Linked DNA regions of Xenopus tropicalis. The protein of the gene in region 1 purifies or fractionates together with the protein of each later gene. This does not show direct contact. Links are inferred from orthologs where the notes say so. Each region holds a gene or a part of one and is shown on either strand. Other genes may lie near its edges.

The links. The genes of interacting proteins can lie anywhere in the genome.
Region 2: the proteins of stx11 (region 1) and vamp8 purify together in Homo sapiens (co-immunoprecipitation; 3 studies listed by BioGRID and IntAct, counting the BioPlex papers as one, with this or other methods). This does not show direct contact. The link is inferred for Xenopus tropicalis from reciprocal best matches to the Homo sapiens genes STX11 and VAMP8.

The regions. Positions count from the first base shown.
Region 1 is NC_030681.2:45,303,788-45,311,024, forward strand, and holds the start of stx11 (syntaxin-11), read left to right. Parts: upstream 1-3,350; 5' UTR 3,351-3,405; intron 3,406-3,546; exon of another isoform or gene 3,547-3,571; intron 3,572-3,849; exon of another isoform or gene 3,850-3,874; intron 3,875-7,237. UniProt on the Homo sapiens protein: SNARE that acts to regulate protein transport between late endosomes and the trans-Golgi network.
Region 2 is NC_030679.2:125,657,626-125,664,114, reverse strand, and holds the end of vamp8 (vesicle-associated membrane protein 8), read right to left. Parts: intron 3,335-6,489; coding exon 3,170-3,334; intron 3,020-3,169; coding exon 2,876-3,019; 3' UTR 2,457-2,875; downstream 1-2,456. UniProt on the Homo sapiens protein: SNAREs, soluble N-ethylmaleimide-sensitive factor-attachment protein receptors, are essential proteins for fusion of cellular membranes.

The DNA of each region.
Region 1 (7,237 bases):
CCACCATCGAGGGGGAAGGGGTGGCCAAGGGGGAGAATATGGATTCCCAAGATACCTAATGGCAGCTCTCAATTTGGGAATGTCGTGAAGATATTTTCAGCCCCTGTTTGTGGGACTGTGCATTTGGCTCTTTGAATTTAATTTCCTTTTGTTCAGTAGTAAAAATTATCCCACAGTAGGGTCACAGTAGGCTGCTATCTTACGCATAAAGGTCTATTATAGTACTTTGCTATTTTTTACAAAATGGTACAAAAGAGAGTGGGGTGTTGTGGGTTTCTCAACAATCACTGTATAGCACATGTAGAAATTTTAAGGGTTATGGCAAATGGGGAGATTTTTCGGGAAATCTGTGCTACCGACAAATCTCCTAAATATACCCTAGCACTGGTGTCAGTGTGAATCGCCAGAGGTAAAACATGAGAATTGTGTAAGCATTGATGATATGATTCATATGTTCAGCAAATTCACACTGGCGCATTGTTGCTCGCAGTTACCACATAATTCTCACTGGCATCAAATCTCCCCAAATTCCCCAAACTGTTTTTTAAACAAAAGAAGAACTTGTTATTGTTAAACAGTGCTGATCACTGACAGGAATAAAGTGGTTCAACTCCAAGTTACCTCTTGACAATCAAGTACAAGTATAAGTCTTGGCATTTTCTGCCCTGCAAGCTCATTTACTAACACTGGGAAAACTTGCAACTGCTCAGTGATCCATAACAACCAATTAGTAATTACAGTAACTTTTTCAGCCAATAGCAGGAAGAGCAATGAAAGCTAAACGTTATTGACTGCCATCAGTTACTGTCCACGTGTAAAAATGCCCAGTGTTGATACAAGAACTCTCAAGGTCTCTCAGATCATTAAATTCAGGGTCATTTCCTTGAACAAGGAATTGTATTTTTTTTTCTAGTAAATTACTTTATTTTCACATCACATGCAACCTTACTGCATCCTCCCATGAACTGAAAGGGAGATTCCACCCAGGAGGTGGTACAATCACCACAGACCATTGTACTTTAAGAAGAGCAGCTAGTGGGAGGGGGGAGTAACATACGATAAATGAATCACTTCAGGTTGCAGGCGTCACATAACTTAATATAGCTATAGTGAAATGACAAGAAAACACTCAGGGCTTTCCATACAGAAAAGTGGAAACTCGCATATTTCTTATTAAAACCAAAGTTAAAATGGATGGGGGTGGAAGAAATGTATTAGTTCACATGTTATTTTCTTTTTGGGAAAAGCCCCATTCACTGAGGGGTGCTGATATGTAAGGCTGTGTAAGGAGAAAATTGTAGATCTCAAGAGCGCCTTAATCAATAATGACTACAACACATTTTGCAAGGTTGAGCTTGAGAGCCAGTCTAGTTTTGTTTTCTACTACAACTACTATGTAGCTATGTCATACACATACATATAAACTGATAGTCCCTTCATTTTACAATCAGGTATAAAATGTTTTATATATACATGCATAAAACAAAGATGTTTTCTTAAAACAGGTGACCAGTAAATGCCACCCGCTGACTGGTTGCTATAGGTGACTAGACCTGAGGCAAACATTGCACATTTTATTATTATTACATTATTACATATATTACATAACCATATAAGACTTTAACAGAGAAGGTGTAAATTTTTTAGTCAGGGTTCAGTCAGATAGTTACTAAGGTGTGAAGTGAATAATCTCATAAATACCCCAGGAAGGAAACAGCTCCTGTTGAGCATGTCAGTACTTATAGTATGAAGGAGGGCCATCTGGGGTAAATGGCACCCTGTAGAAACACATTATATGACATACACATCATATGAACAATTTATAAACCACCATATATCATTTATAAGGTATAATATTGCTGTTCAGTGTACAGGCAGTAGAATCTGGCTAGGGTTGCTACTTTTGGTGACCAGATGAGAGAAACAAAAATAGGGTGAAACCTGAAAACTTGTGTGAGTTGACATGTCTGTACAGAAAAAGAAAAACTGCCATGCACACCCCTTGTTTGTGGTACCTCACGCAGCAGCAGCACAGGTCACACATTAGAAAAGCTAACCTGAAGGCAGTTCTGCGAAGAATAGATCCGTACCTTACCTAGCGCAGACGTACCTATGGTCAGGGGACAGGCATGCACACGGGCCACCCTTGGGGGTGCATATGGGCACAAATATATCAAAATTTCTCTAAAGAAAAAATATATAGTGTAAAAGGGACATTCCATAATCCTGCATGTAATGCTTTAACTGATTGTGCCTAATGTGCCTTTGGTTGAAATATATTACAGAACCAGTGTACACTAGGTGCCTGTCTTTGTGAATCCCCCACACCATTAATGTAAAAAAAATCAAATACATGTATGTTTATTTGGCTATTTTATACTAAAACCTTTAAAAAGAAAAGCTACAGGGTATGGTATAAAAGTATGGACTGGACTAATCTGGCAGATGAGGGATGTTTAAGGGCCAGGTCTGTGTGGATAAAACTTACAGAGTAGTTATATGTTTTCCTGGAGGTTTCTTTCTGAATCATTTCTTTTCCAATAAAGAAATTCTAAGTATTATCTGCTTCTCATTTAGATGGAAACACCTCCTGCTTACTCACATGGTGCATGTGCTCACCCTGCTTCCTCTTCTGACACTTCACCTCCCACTGAGCAGCACAACAGCAGCAGCAGCCGCCTGTCTATTGCTCGCTGTGAGTGAAGAGGAAGTAGGCTGTGTGAGTGCCACAGCATGGGCATGGCTTGAGGCTTGAAGGCAATCAGCTTGAAAAGTTTCCCAGCTCTGTAATACAGAATTAAGGAGCTACAAAGCAAGAGTTCACCTATACCCAGCAGTTGGTTAAAGGTAAGTGCATGCATTGTTGCTTTAGGTGCATTTTCCTGTGGGGCCAGCTCCTTAGACACTGTTAAGAACTGGTTATCTGATGGACAATTTGCACAGGGCAGGTTGACAGTATATAACATGATAACCGAGACTGGCTGATATAAAGGATAATCAAACACATGACTTTCAGAGTGACAGAAAGTTTAACAGACAGGTCAGTGGGGAGACTTGAAGTTTCTGCGCCCCATAACAAAGTCATTTGCCACTTTGGCAATAATGTATTTTTTATAAAAATATACTGAGACTGAGTTTATCAATCTATGCCCCTCTGGGCGCCCATATTTCCTGGGTTCCCCAACAGTCACAGCATTTGCTTTCTCTATAGTTACACCCCTGAATGAATAAGTGATGCCGTAGCAATAATGTGCTGCATAATCGTATAGAAAGTCCATTACTACAAATTGAAGCAGAAACAATCAGCCCGTCCGGGCTTTATATAGCTGCTTTGTATGAATAGAATTTTCAGTTCATTTTGTTGGCCAGGAGTTGTTCGCAGCTGAACCTGATTGGGAAAATAAGGTGTGTGCTGAACTGGGGCAGACTGCTGGAGATGGGCCAATTACCCTGTAAACTTGTGTCGTTATGATGATTAGAGAAACATTGTGCTTCTTTTTGTGAAAGTGTGTCTTTGTGCTGTTAAGGTTGTACATTGTACCATCAGTGTGGAAGCCAAGCATCCTTTTTGGTTATAAGACCCCCTGTGTTTCCTTTTGGCAATAATAATATGTTTCTAGTCCTCAGTTGCCCCCTCTTTTCAGCCCTTTTTGTACTACAGTAATCTGTCACAAGGTTGTGGGAAATTGTGTAGTTCAAATATAGCAGCAGTTTGGGCACTGTGGGAGTTGTAGTACAGTACTTGCTTGTGCAGGTGCAGCAAACTCCTTTTTTATACACCAGTGAGGGTATTTTCAAGCTCTTGTAAGGAAGATGATTTAATTTGTGGCCTGCGAGCTACAGACAGGTTTGTGGCCGAGACTGCGCATAAATGGTGAGAGGATGATTCTGAGTGTAGGAGATCAGAAATGTGCAGGTTAAATAGAAAGGAGCTTAAAGAGGTTGTAAACTTTCTCACTGTGTCCCTTACTTCTCTTAAGTACATGACTAATTACTGATGCAAGAGAATTTACCAATGAGATTGCTGTTTGTCAGCATTATGTCATTTTGTTATGTTATCACACTGTAGCATCACAAGGGAGGATGCTCTTCTGTGTAGTTCTGCCATAGAAAAGGTTTGTTTAAAGCTTCCAATTACAGTGACAAAACAAACAACATGGAGACTAATCAAAGGGATTCTTATTGGAGGATTACTTTGCATATTAATTTGGGTCACTGGTCCTAGAAAGCTGGGTAGATTTTTATTGTGAACTAGCATACACACCCTGAAGTTGCTGGACTACAGCTCCCACTATACTTAAACCATTTGTAAAATGTTTTTTTGCTTTGTAGTCTAGCACATTTTGGGTAAACTGGCCTTTAAGGAGGTTATACCTGACACCCTGGCCAAACACTCATATTTAGCCTTGTATGAAGAGATTTAAACTTAGTAAGCAATTAGGGCAGACAGGCTGAGAATGCAGCTTCAGAATATTCTTTATGCTGCAAGCAGAGACCTGTAATAAAATGACATCACAGAATCTTCTCTGGCATCTGTTAGCTTCTGTCCCACCATCTAAGAGTGACAATCCAGCTATCTGATTTATACCATAGGAAGCTATGTAAAATGCATATGGAATATTCTGCAGGTTTAAATAAATATGGTTAGCTCCATTCAGCACAACCTCTATAGCGATCACAAGCTTAGATGAAGTGACAAACTGACTTTCATGCCCATGTATTTATGTAGAGAAAAAGACTGTTTTATCATAAAGGAAGGCAGAATCATTGATGCTGGAGAGCTTGTGCAACTTGGATATTATTTAAGGAATTTATAACCATCATCAAAGGAACCCTGTTGCATTGTGTTTACTGACATATCCTCAACTGATAACACACACATCTTTTGATGTGGTTCCCTTTTGGTTCCTGCATTTTCTTAAAGTGGACCTGTCACCCAGACATAAAAAGCTGTATAATAAAAGTCCTTTTCAAATTAAACATGAAACCCAAATTCATTTTTATATTAACACATCCAAACCCATTATAGAGGCATTTAAAAATCCCAGATGTCAATCATATATTGCTTGCCCCGCCTTTATGCCTTAGGCATAGAGGCGGGGCAGACAATAACTTTAGCTTTTCGTTCAGCACTACCTAGATGTCACTGCACATCTCACTTTTCCCCTCCCTCCTCATCATCTAATTGTGTAGCCAGTGCAAGGGCCTGGGCATCAGGTCCCCCATTCTGGCATATAAACAAGATTTTGGCATGATACCAAGCTTGCCTTAATAACAGTGTCCACAAAATGGTGCCTGCCTGCTTGCTTTGATTGAGTAATTCCAAGACGGAAAGAAACAAGATTGATATTATTTATATAGAGTAAGTAAAGTTCATTTTGCTCAACTAACAATATAGAAAATAATTTGGAGTTATTTCTTAGGGTGACAGGTCCCCTTTAAGCACTCTGGACTGAGGAAGGATAAATGTTATGATAGGCTGGAGGATCACCATAAATAAGAACTTCAGCTTATTACAAACTTGCATAATGCCCAGCCCAACACTCTCTAGGAAATGAATCGACCAGCTGCTCAGAGAGTGAATAATAGCAGGCTTCTAGCAGTGTTGGTACACTTAGGCTGTGGTGCTCTGTACTATATTCAGGTGAACAGAAAACACTTTTTGAATTTTGTGCTGCGTTGTATAGAGGACAAAATACTAGAACCTTATTGCATTGTGGTGGATGTAGCTGTAGTGAGCAGGTGGCAGCAAAAAATTGGGATCTTTGCTTTGGTGCCAATGGCATTGATCAAGTTAAAGTGATACTGACACTAAAAAACTACTCCAGATTATTTATGTACATTAAAAGTTATCTATAGGTCATGTTGATTGTTTTGCTCTGATAGCTCTGCTTTTGTAAGTAATTTTTACTTGAAGTTCCTAAACCTGACTGTTTTGCCAATACTTTTAAGTCAATACTTTAAAAAGCATGCAAAGAAAATGTTATGCTATGTAAAAAGGATTCAATTTCTAATGTCAGTATCTCTTTAGATGTCAGAATTATCTTTAGTTACAGAGGATTGGAGGAAGTTGAGCTGACAAATGTATTGGAAATAAGAAGCCCAATCTTTGCTCAGGAACATACAGAACAATAAGGGCCCTGGGAACACCAACAAAGGGCCATCTGGGCTGGTCCCAGGCTGGCCCTGGAGCAATATTAACATTTACAATTGATGGTTTTAAGCTTTTGGAGGGGATAATAAGGGAGACAATACTTGAATATCACAATACTGTGTGTTTGTTCCAGAGGTAAGCAGAAACCTAGACTCTGGGATGGCAGTGGATGTGGCCTACTTAGATTTTGATAAAGCATTTGAAACAGTACCACACAGAAGGTCACTAATTAAATTCAGTAGTACTGGTCTGGAACATAATGTAATGCACATCAAGAACTGGCTGAAGGATAGATTACAAAGAGTGGTGGTAAATGGAGCAATTTCTAATTGGGCCATAGCCATTTGCTTTTTAACATGGGCATTGGAGGTACTCTGTTTTGCTAATGCAACTAAATTGTACAAAACTATATGTTCAATGCAGGATGCTGCCACTTTGCAGTGAGTGATTTTTTTTTTTGAGTGATTTGACTAAATTGGAGAACTGGGCAGCAAACTGGCATATGAGGTTCAACATAGGGAAGTACAAGGTTATGCACTTTGGTAGAAATAACAAATGCAAGTTATACACTAGATGGTAGTGTGTTGGAGGTTTCCTTAACTGAGAAGGATGTTGGGAATTTTTGTGAATAACAAACTGTGTAACAATAGGCAGTGCCATTTAGTTGCTTCTTAAGCAAATTTAGTACTGTCAGGGCCGCCATCAGGGGGGCACAGGGGGGACAGTTGTCCCGGGCCCGGAGGATCGTGGATTTAAAGGGGCCCCAGCCATGATACAGTTTTTAAGCACGGGCCCCCTTTAAAAATTTTCACTTCATTGGTGGTCAGCGGGTAATTTTATACTATTCTTTTATAAGGTTGCGCCCCATGCATGCTGACGTTAAGGGTACACACGGGGCGCAACCTAATAAAACAGTAGCTGCAGCAGCAAAACGTGGGACCTAAGAAGAGACGGGGAACGCAGCCTGACGAAGCGGGCAGGCGAGGGGGAGGGGAAGCTGGAGGATGTTGGGGAGGGGAAGCTGGAAGATGTTGGGGAAGACGCCTGGGGGAGCTGAAGGATGTTGGGGAGGATGCTGGGGGG
Region 2 (6,489 bases), on another chromosome or scaffold:
CTTAGTTGGTTAAAACAAGACTGCTGACTATAGAAAGGAGGCGAGGCTGCCTGGGTGTAAAAATACATAGCGAACCACAGTTCTGCTCATTGCGAGCTACTTATTAAAGGTCCAAAAGCATAAAGACCAAGTGGGGTACACTGAAACACTAAAGCTTGAACATCCCCACAAAGCAGGCCTCAGGTTCTATGTGTCACAGATAGAAGCAAACAAGCAGGATAATGCACAGGCACTGATGGGGGATAAGGACACATGAGGCTGTTTGGGGAGCTTGGAGCATTTTTACTCAGCCCAGAATTACAGCTCCAAAGGGCCCAAACAATCCCCATTAGACTTACATTGAAATCACCAGATAAGTGATGGAACAAAGGTTTGTCGGCAGATATTCTTACTCAAAAAGCGATAGCTGCCCTTTGTGCCAATATGAAACACTAAAGGCAAAATGTGTTGATTAAATTCTTTAATAACAAGAAAAATATAAATAAATCCTGGGGGAAAAAAAATGAAAGGGTCAGTGACAGAAATAAAAGGAGATTAAGATTCCCAATAAAACTAAATGTAATTTTGTGTGAGATAATGAGGAGTTATTTAGCCGTTAATTGCACACCACTCCAGCCATGATGGGTACAGAAAAACTGGGAATGACAGGAGCTGTAGTATAAACTAGGGAGGCACCAAATCCACTATTTTGGGATTCAGCTGAACCCCAAATCCTTTGTAAAAGTTTTGGCCGAATACTGAACTGGGAAGTCATGTGATTTTAAAGATTTGGATTCAGTTTGGCCAGGAACATGGATTTGGCCAAATGCGAATCCTGCTGAAAAGGCAGAATGTTGGCCGAATCCTGGATTCAGTGCATCCCTAGTATAAACCAGCTGAATAATACCATTATCACAAGCCAGGGGTTTTCAGGAAAGTTACAATCAATGGGGGGTGCCAGATGTTACGCACCCCCCAGTGACTATAGTCACTTACCTGATACCCCAAGCAGTGTTCCTGCTGACCAAAACTGCAGCAGCCCAGGGTTCATGCCAAAGAATTTTGCTCTTCCTTTCATCGTCTATCTTTGGAGTCCGGGGCCTGGAGAGTGCGCAGTAGAGTAAAAGAGACCACTTTCTTGTTGAAGTTTAGCTTTTCACTCTACTGCGCTAAGGCAAAAGAAGGAAAAGGATCACCCCAGAGGGGTGTGGTTTTTCGGATAACAGAAGCACAGGGGTATCAGGTAAGTGATTACAATCACTGGGGGTGCTTGACCTTTTGGCACACCCAAGCGATCGAGACATTTCTTCGCCTTTAAACATGAAAAGCTGCAAAACAGCTGTAACCAGGCAACCGATAGCTGTCACTGCACGGGTAGGAGTTTTAGTGGCTACAAAGCCTCAGGTTAGAGGGTCCAGGGCATGGAACAAAAAAAAAAAAGGAATAGTGTGACATCCACAGTGTAACTGTGTCACTGCAGGTCTGCTTACAGAACGTACTCAGGCCATGTTTGTAAGTGGTGCTGCCACTCAGTGGTACGTCTCTGTAGTGCACCCCAATTTATATCTGCAAATAATAACCTGGGCTTATCTTAGAAATTCAACTCCCAATCCATGAAAAATATCTGTAAGGCAGTAAGCTGGCAGTCCAGCAGTTTCACTACTCTAACCCAGAGTCATCTGCTATAAAGGGCAGTTCACCTTCAAGTTCACATTTAGTATGTTATAGAATCTCCAATCCTTAGCAACCTTTCAATCGGTCTCCATTTTATTATTTTATAGTTCAGCTTTTCATCCAGACCACTGCTTGGTTGCTAGGGTAAATTGGGCCCTTAGCAACCAGATAGCTGCTGAAATGCTAAACTGGAAAGCTGCTAAACAAAAAGCTAAGTAATTAAAAAATAAAAATGAAGACCAATTGCAAATTGCCTCAGATTATCACTGTCTACATCATATTAAAAGTTAATTTGAAGATGAACAACCAAGATAAATATGGCACCCACATTCACTTCTTCTCTGAATACATACAGATTTACCCAAGTTATTTAGGAAAGATTCCAATGTACGGAAAAAGAATTTACCGAGCCTCAAATGACTACTACGAGCAAGTAATAATAACAACATATTAAGACTCTAGAACCCAACTGATAATAAGAGAATGCATATTATAGCTAGTTAGATACAATCTACCCTTATATACAAAAGAGACATGTCCCCTACAGTGGCATTATAGATAAACTGTTAATTCAGATTTCCCAGAAATTTCTGCAAACAAATTCAAACAGAAGCAACTCTAAGTAGCCGAGAGGGGTTGATCAACAATGTGTACACCAGTGAATGAGCAGGATTCCCATATCAGATTATACACTGGGTGGCAGCAATGTATCATTTGGGGCTTAAACTAATGAATAAAGGCAAGAATGCAAAACATGCATGGGTTTAAAAAAAAATAATTGGTGAAAGTGTAGAAGTGGTAGATATTACACTTTTATCTAGTCCATAACGGTAATGGTGTACAATGGTAATGGTGTACAATGAGTACAAGAACTTAACCAAAAACATATCACCGGAAACAAAGTGGGAAATGGGCTGCAAGTAGGAATGAAATAATATACCTAGATATTTTTATTTGCCATATTGAGAATCAAACCTTTATGTGTAGGAAGAAAATATACACTCATTTGGTATGCAGACCCCACTGGATCTAGGTGTGACCTGAAACAGGCCAACACATAAGGAGAAAATGAATGTAGCCAATCAGAGGCATCCAAAGTATAACAACACAAGTCTGATTGGCCTCTCTCCATTGGCTTGAGGAGAGCTCATCAGGCAGGAGTAAGTGAAAGGTAATCATGAGTCCTCATTGGCAGAGCAGCCTGGTTGGCGAGTGACAATCTTTATGTGGGGATGACTCCAGTGGCGAGGAGGATGATGAGGAGTACAATAATTCCAACCACCACGCAGATTATGGCAATCATCTTTGCGTTTTTCCACCAGTACTTGCGGGCAACCTTCTGGGAAGTGGTCTTGAAGTGTTCAGACTGGGTGAAAGGAACAGACAAAACAAGGTGAGGCAGTGATAGAGCGAGTACAGAGAAGGATGATGGGCAGAATAACAGTGTAGGTAGTGGAGAACTAAGATGGGGCTGGAGAGGGATTTAGATGGGATGCCTATGGCTATGGGCACTTACGCTAGCTTCCAGGTCTTCTGTTTTGTTCCTTAGATGATCCAGATTCTCTCCCCGTGCCAGAATTCGCTCCACATTTTGGGACATGATTCCCTTTACGTCGTCCACCTGACTCTGGAGATCCCTCACGCGTTCAGGGGCCGCTGGGGCATTTGCCCCTCCCATATCCTGCCAAAGTAATCAATAATGAAATAGGGGCAGAAATCTGCAAAGACCCAGGATACAGAATCACACATGCTGCCACTCTTTTACAGTTAATAGGCAAAAAATAATCAGTAGAATTTGTTTTCCCTATAATGCTGTAAGAGCTGTGGCACATGTATGGTTAAGGTCAGCCATACAATTCCACAGAAATGGGATACCCTGCAAGAAGCTGGCCAGACATAAGATCCGCTTGTTTCTTTCCCCGATATGCCCACCTGTGTTTCTTTTGATAGAGGACTCAGAGCAGCATTACTATAAGTGATATGGCTGTATTTACGTAGACCTTTCTGATAAAGGTTTCTTTAAAAATCCTGATTAAGTTTTTACCTTTCTTTCTCCTTTAGGGCTCTGGCACACGGGGAGATTAGTCGCCCGCGACAAAACTCCCTGTTCGCGGGCGACTAATCTCCCCGGATTGCCATCCCACCGGCAAAAATGTAAATCGCCAGTGGGATGGCAAACGCAGCGGCACGATTTCAGTGAAATCGCGCAAGTTGCCTCGAGAGGAAACTTGCGCGATTAAATCGCGCCGCCGCGTATGCCATCCCAGCGGCGATTTACATTTTCGCCGGTGGGATGGCATTTCGGGGAGATTAGTCACCCGAGACACAGGAGATTTGTCGTGGGCGACTAATCTCCCCGTGTGCCAGAGCCCTTAACATTAAACTAAGCTTTATATTCTGCAGCCTCTCCACTTTAGCATTTTAGCCGCTACCTGCTTGCTAGGGCCTAATTTACCCTAGCAACCAGACAGTGGCTTGAATAAAAGAGCGTAAAATAAATTGGAGAGGGCCAGAACAGAATGATAAGTTATAAAGTAACAATAACAATTGTATAACAATACTAGTTTAACCTCACAGAGCAATAGTTTTTTTGGCGCCGGGTTCTGTGACCGGTAGATTGGATTTTTAACTGTAGCTGAACAGAAAGAAGTAAAGAAGCTAAGACATTTGGATGACCGTGGATGGGATTTTCTTTTTTGTTAAAGTATGTGCACATAATGTCAATGCTGAGAAGGGGAACTCTGAATTACATCAAGCACTATGGCGAAAATGTTTCATCCTGGAAGTGACACCAATACACATGCTTACAGACTGGCCTAAAGCCTGCTTAACGCTCACTCAGCATACACACTATCTCCACTGACTCCACTGATTCTAACACACGTATGTGCAGTAAGCATTTGCTTAAAACGGGACAGGAGCCCGGGGGCCATTTCTGGCACAAAACAAGAATAGGAAGCCAGCTTCACTTTGGCACTTCCTGAGGCTTTCTGATCCCAATGAACTTCAAAAGGAGTTGATAAAACTAATTACCAGCCCACTGAAAAGCCCTGCATAATAAGCTGTTTTAAAGGCTGCTGCTTAGAGAAGGGAAGGATTTGTTTGCTCAAAAGTAGTTAGGAAGATCTAAACAAACTGCCCTGTTTATAAAGCAAGTGAGGGTAAGTTCAATGAAAATTTGTTTTTATATTGGCAAAAAATACAGATTTTTTAAATTAAAAAACACGCAGAATTTTTTTTAAACACAACTTGGTTTTTGGTGTATACGCTCCCCAGTCCCAATAAACTTAAAGGACCATTGTTTTTTTTTCAATCCAAATTAAATATGTAAGTATAAATAAAACTTTAAGGTGAATCAGCCCTTTAAATTGGCTTGGTGTGCTGTAACAACTCCCTGCCAAGAGCTCCGAGCATCCAACCCCACAAACCGCTGTGACTTCCTGATCACTGCATGGCCGGTATTTCCCATGAGATATATCCTCAAACCTTCGCCACACATACCAAACCTTCCATAGCTCAGATGCTAATGCATTGCTAATGCCAATGCTATTTACTGTGACCTCATCAAAACAGAACGCCTTTATTTCTTTGTCCTTTATCCACCACGGCAGACTTTGTTGCTCCAACATATCATTATAGTTTGCAACTAAACAATTCTAGCGCTGCCATTTAGGCTGGTGGCACATGAAAAATTCTCTACCAGGTAAGAAGAAGATTCTGCCACCTCCAATTCACTTCTTTGAGAAATGCATGACAACATTAGTACACAGAATTTTTGGGCCCAAAGACGCACAGAAGCGCTAGCACCACAGACGTCATACACTCTATAACAACAGGGATCCCCAACCTTTTTTACCCCTGAGCCACATTCAAATGTAAAAAGATTTGGGGAGCAACACAAGAATGGAAAATGTACCCGGTAGTGCCAAATAAGGACTGTGATTGGTTATTTGGTAGCCCCTATGTGGACTGTCAGCCTACAGGAGGCTCTGTTTGGCAGTACACCTGTTCTTTACCCAACCAAAACTTGCCCCAAGCCAGAAATTTAAAAATAAGCCCCTGATTTAGGGTTACTGGGAGCAAGATGTTTCTCCTGAGCCACTGGTTGGGGATCACTGCTCCATAGCAAAGCTATGCTGGGAAGAATAAGACACATGCCATTAGCCTAAATGGCCTATGCCTCAGGCACAACACAATTACAGACTAGCTGAGTTAATCAGTTATTTCCAATTGAAATGGTTACTTATTACTAAATAAAGTGTATAAGATGCCAAAGGTACAATCATGTATATCTGTAAAGTGGAACAATATCCTATATCAGTAACATTATCTAAATAAGTTCATTGCATTTAGGAATATGAACCTGTCCTGCCTAGGTCTCTATGTTTGACAAGGTCACCAACAAACAGCGCATCTTTGCTGGATCAGGCCACATAGTATTAAACCAAATCAGGTTGATGCAATCTTTTAGCTCCTGGACAATCAGATCCCATGGAGGACATAGGAACCAATCCAGGCACAATGCAGTACTCATAGGAATTTCCATACAGATATTGACTTGGGTTGTCTTTATTTTGTCTCTATACATACTGTTTTTTAATTATTTGTCTTCCTCTTCTACCTCTTTTCCACTGACACCAGCTGTCAAAAAACTATTGCTCTGTGAGGCTACAATTATTTTGTTATTTTTTATTATCAGGTTAAAGGGGCCCTGTCACCCTAAGAAATAATTCCAAATCTTTTCCTTCCAAAATCTTATGCATTTGCCATCTTGGTGTTGTATAGGAAGTGCTGAATGGAAAGCTAAAGTAATTGTTATTAACAATATTGCCTGCC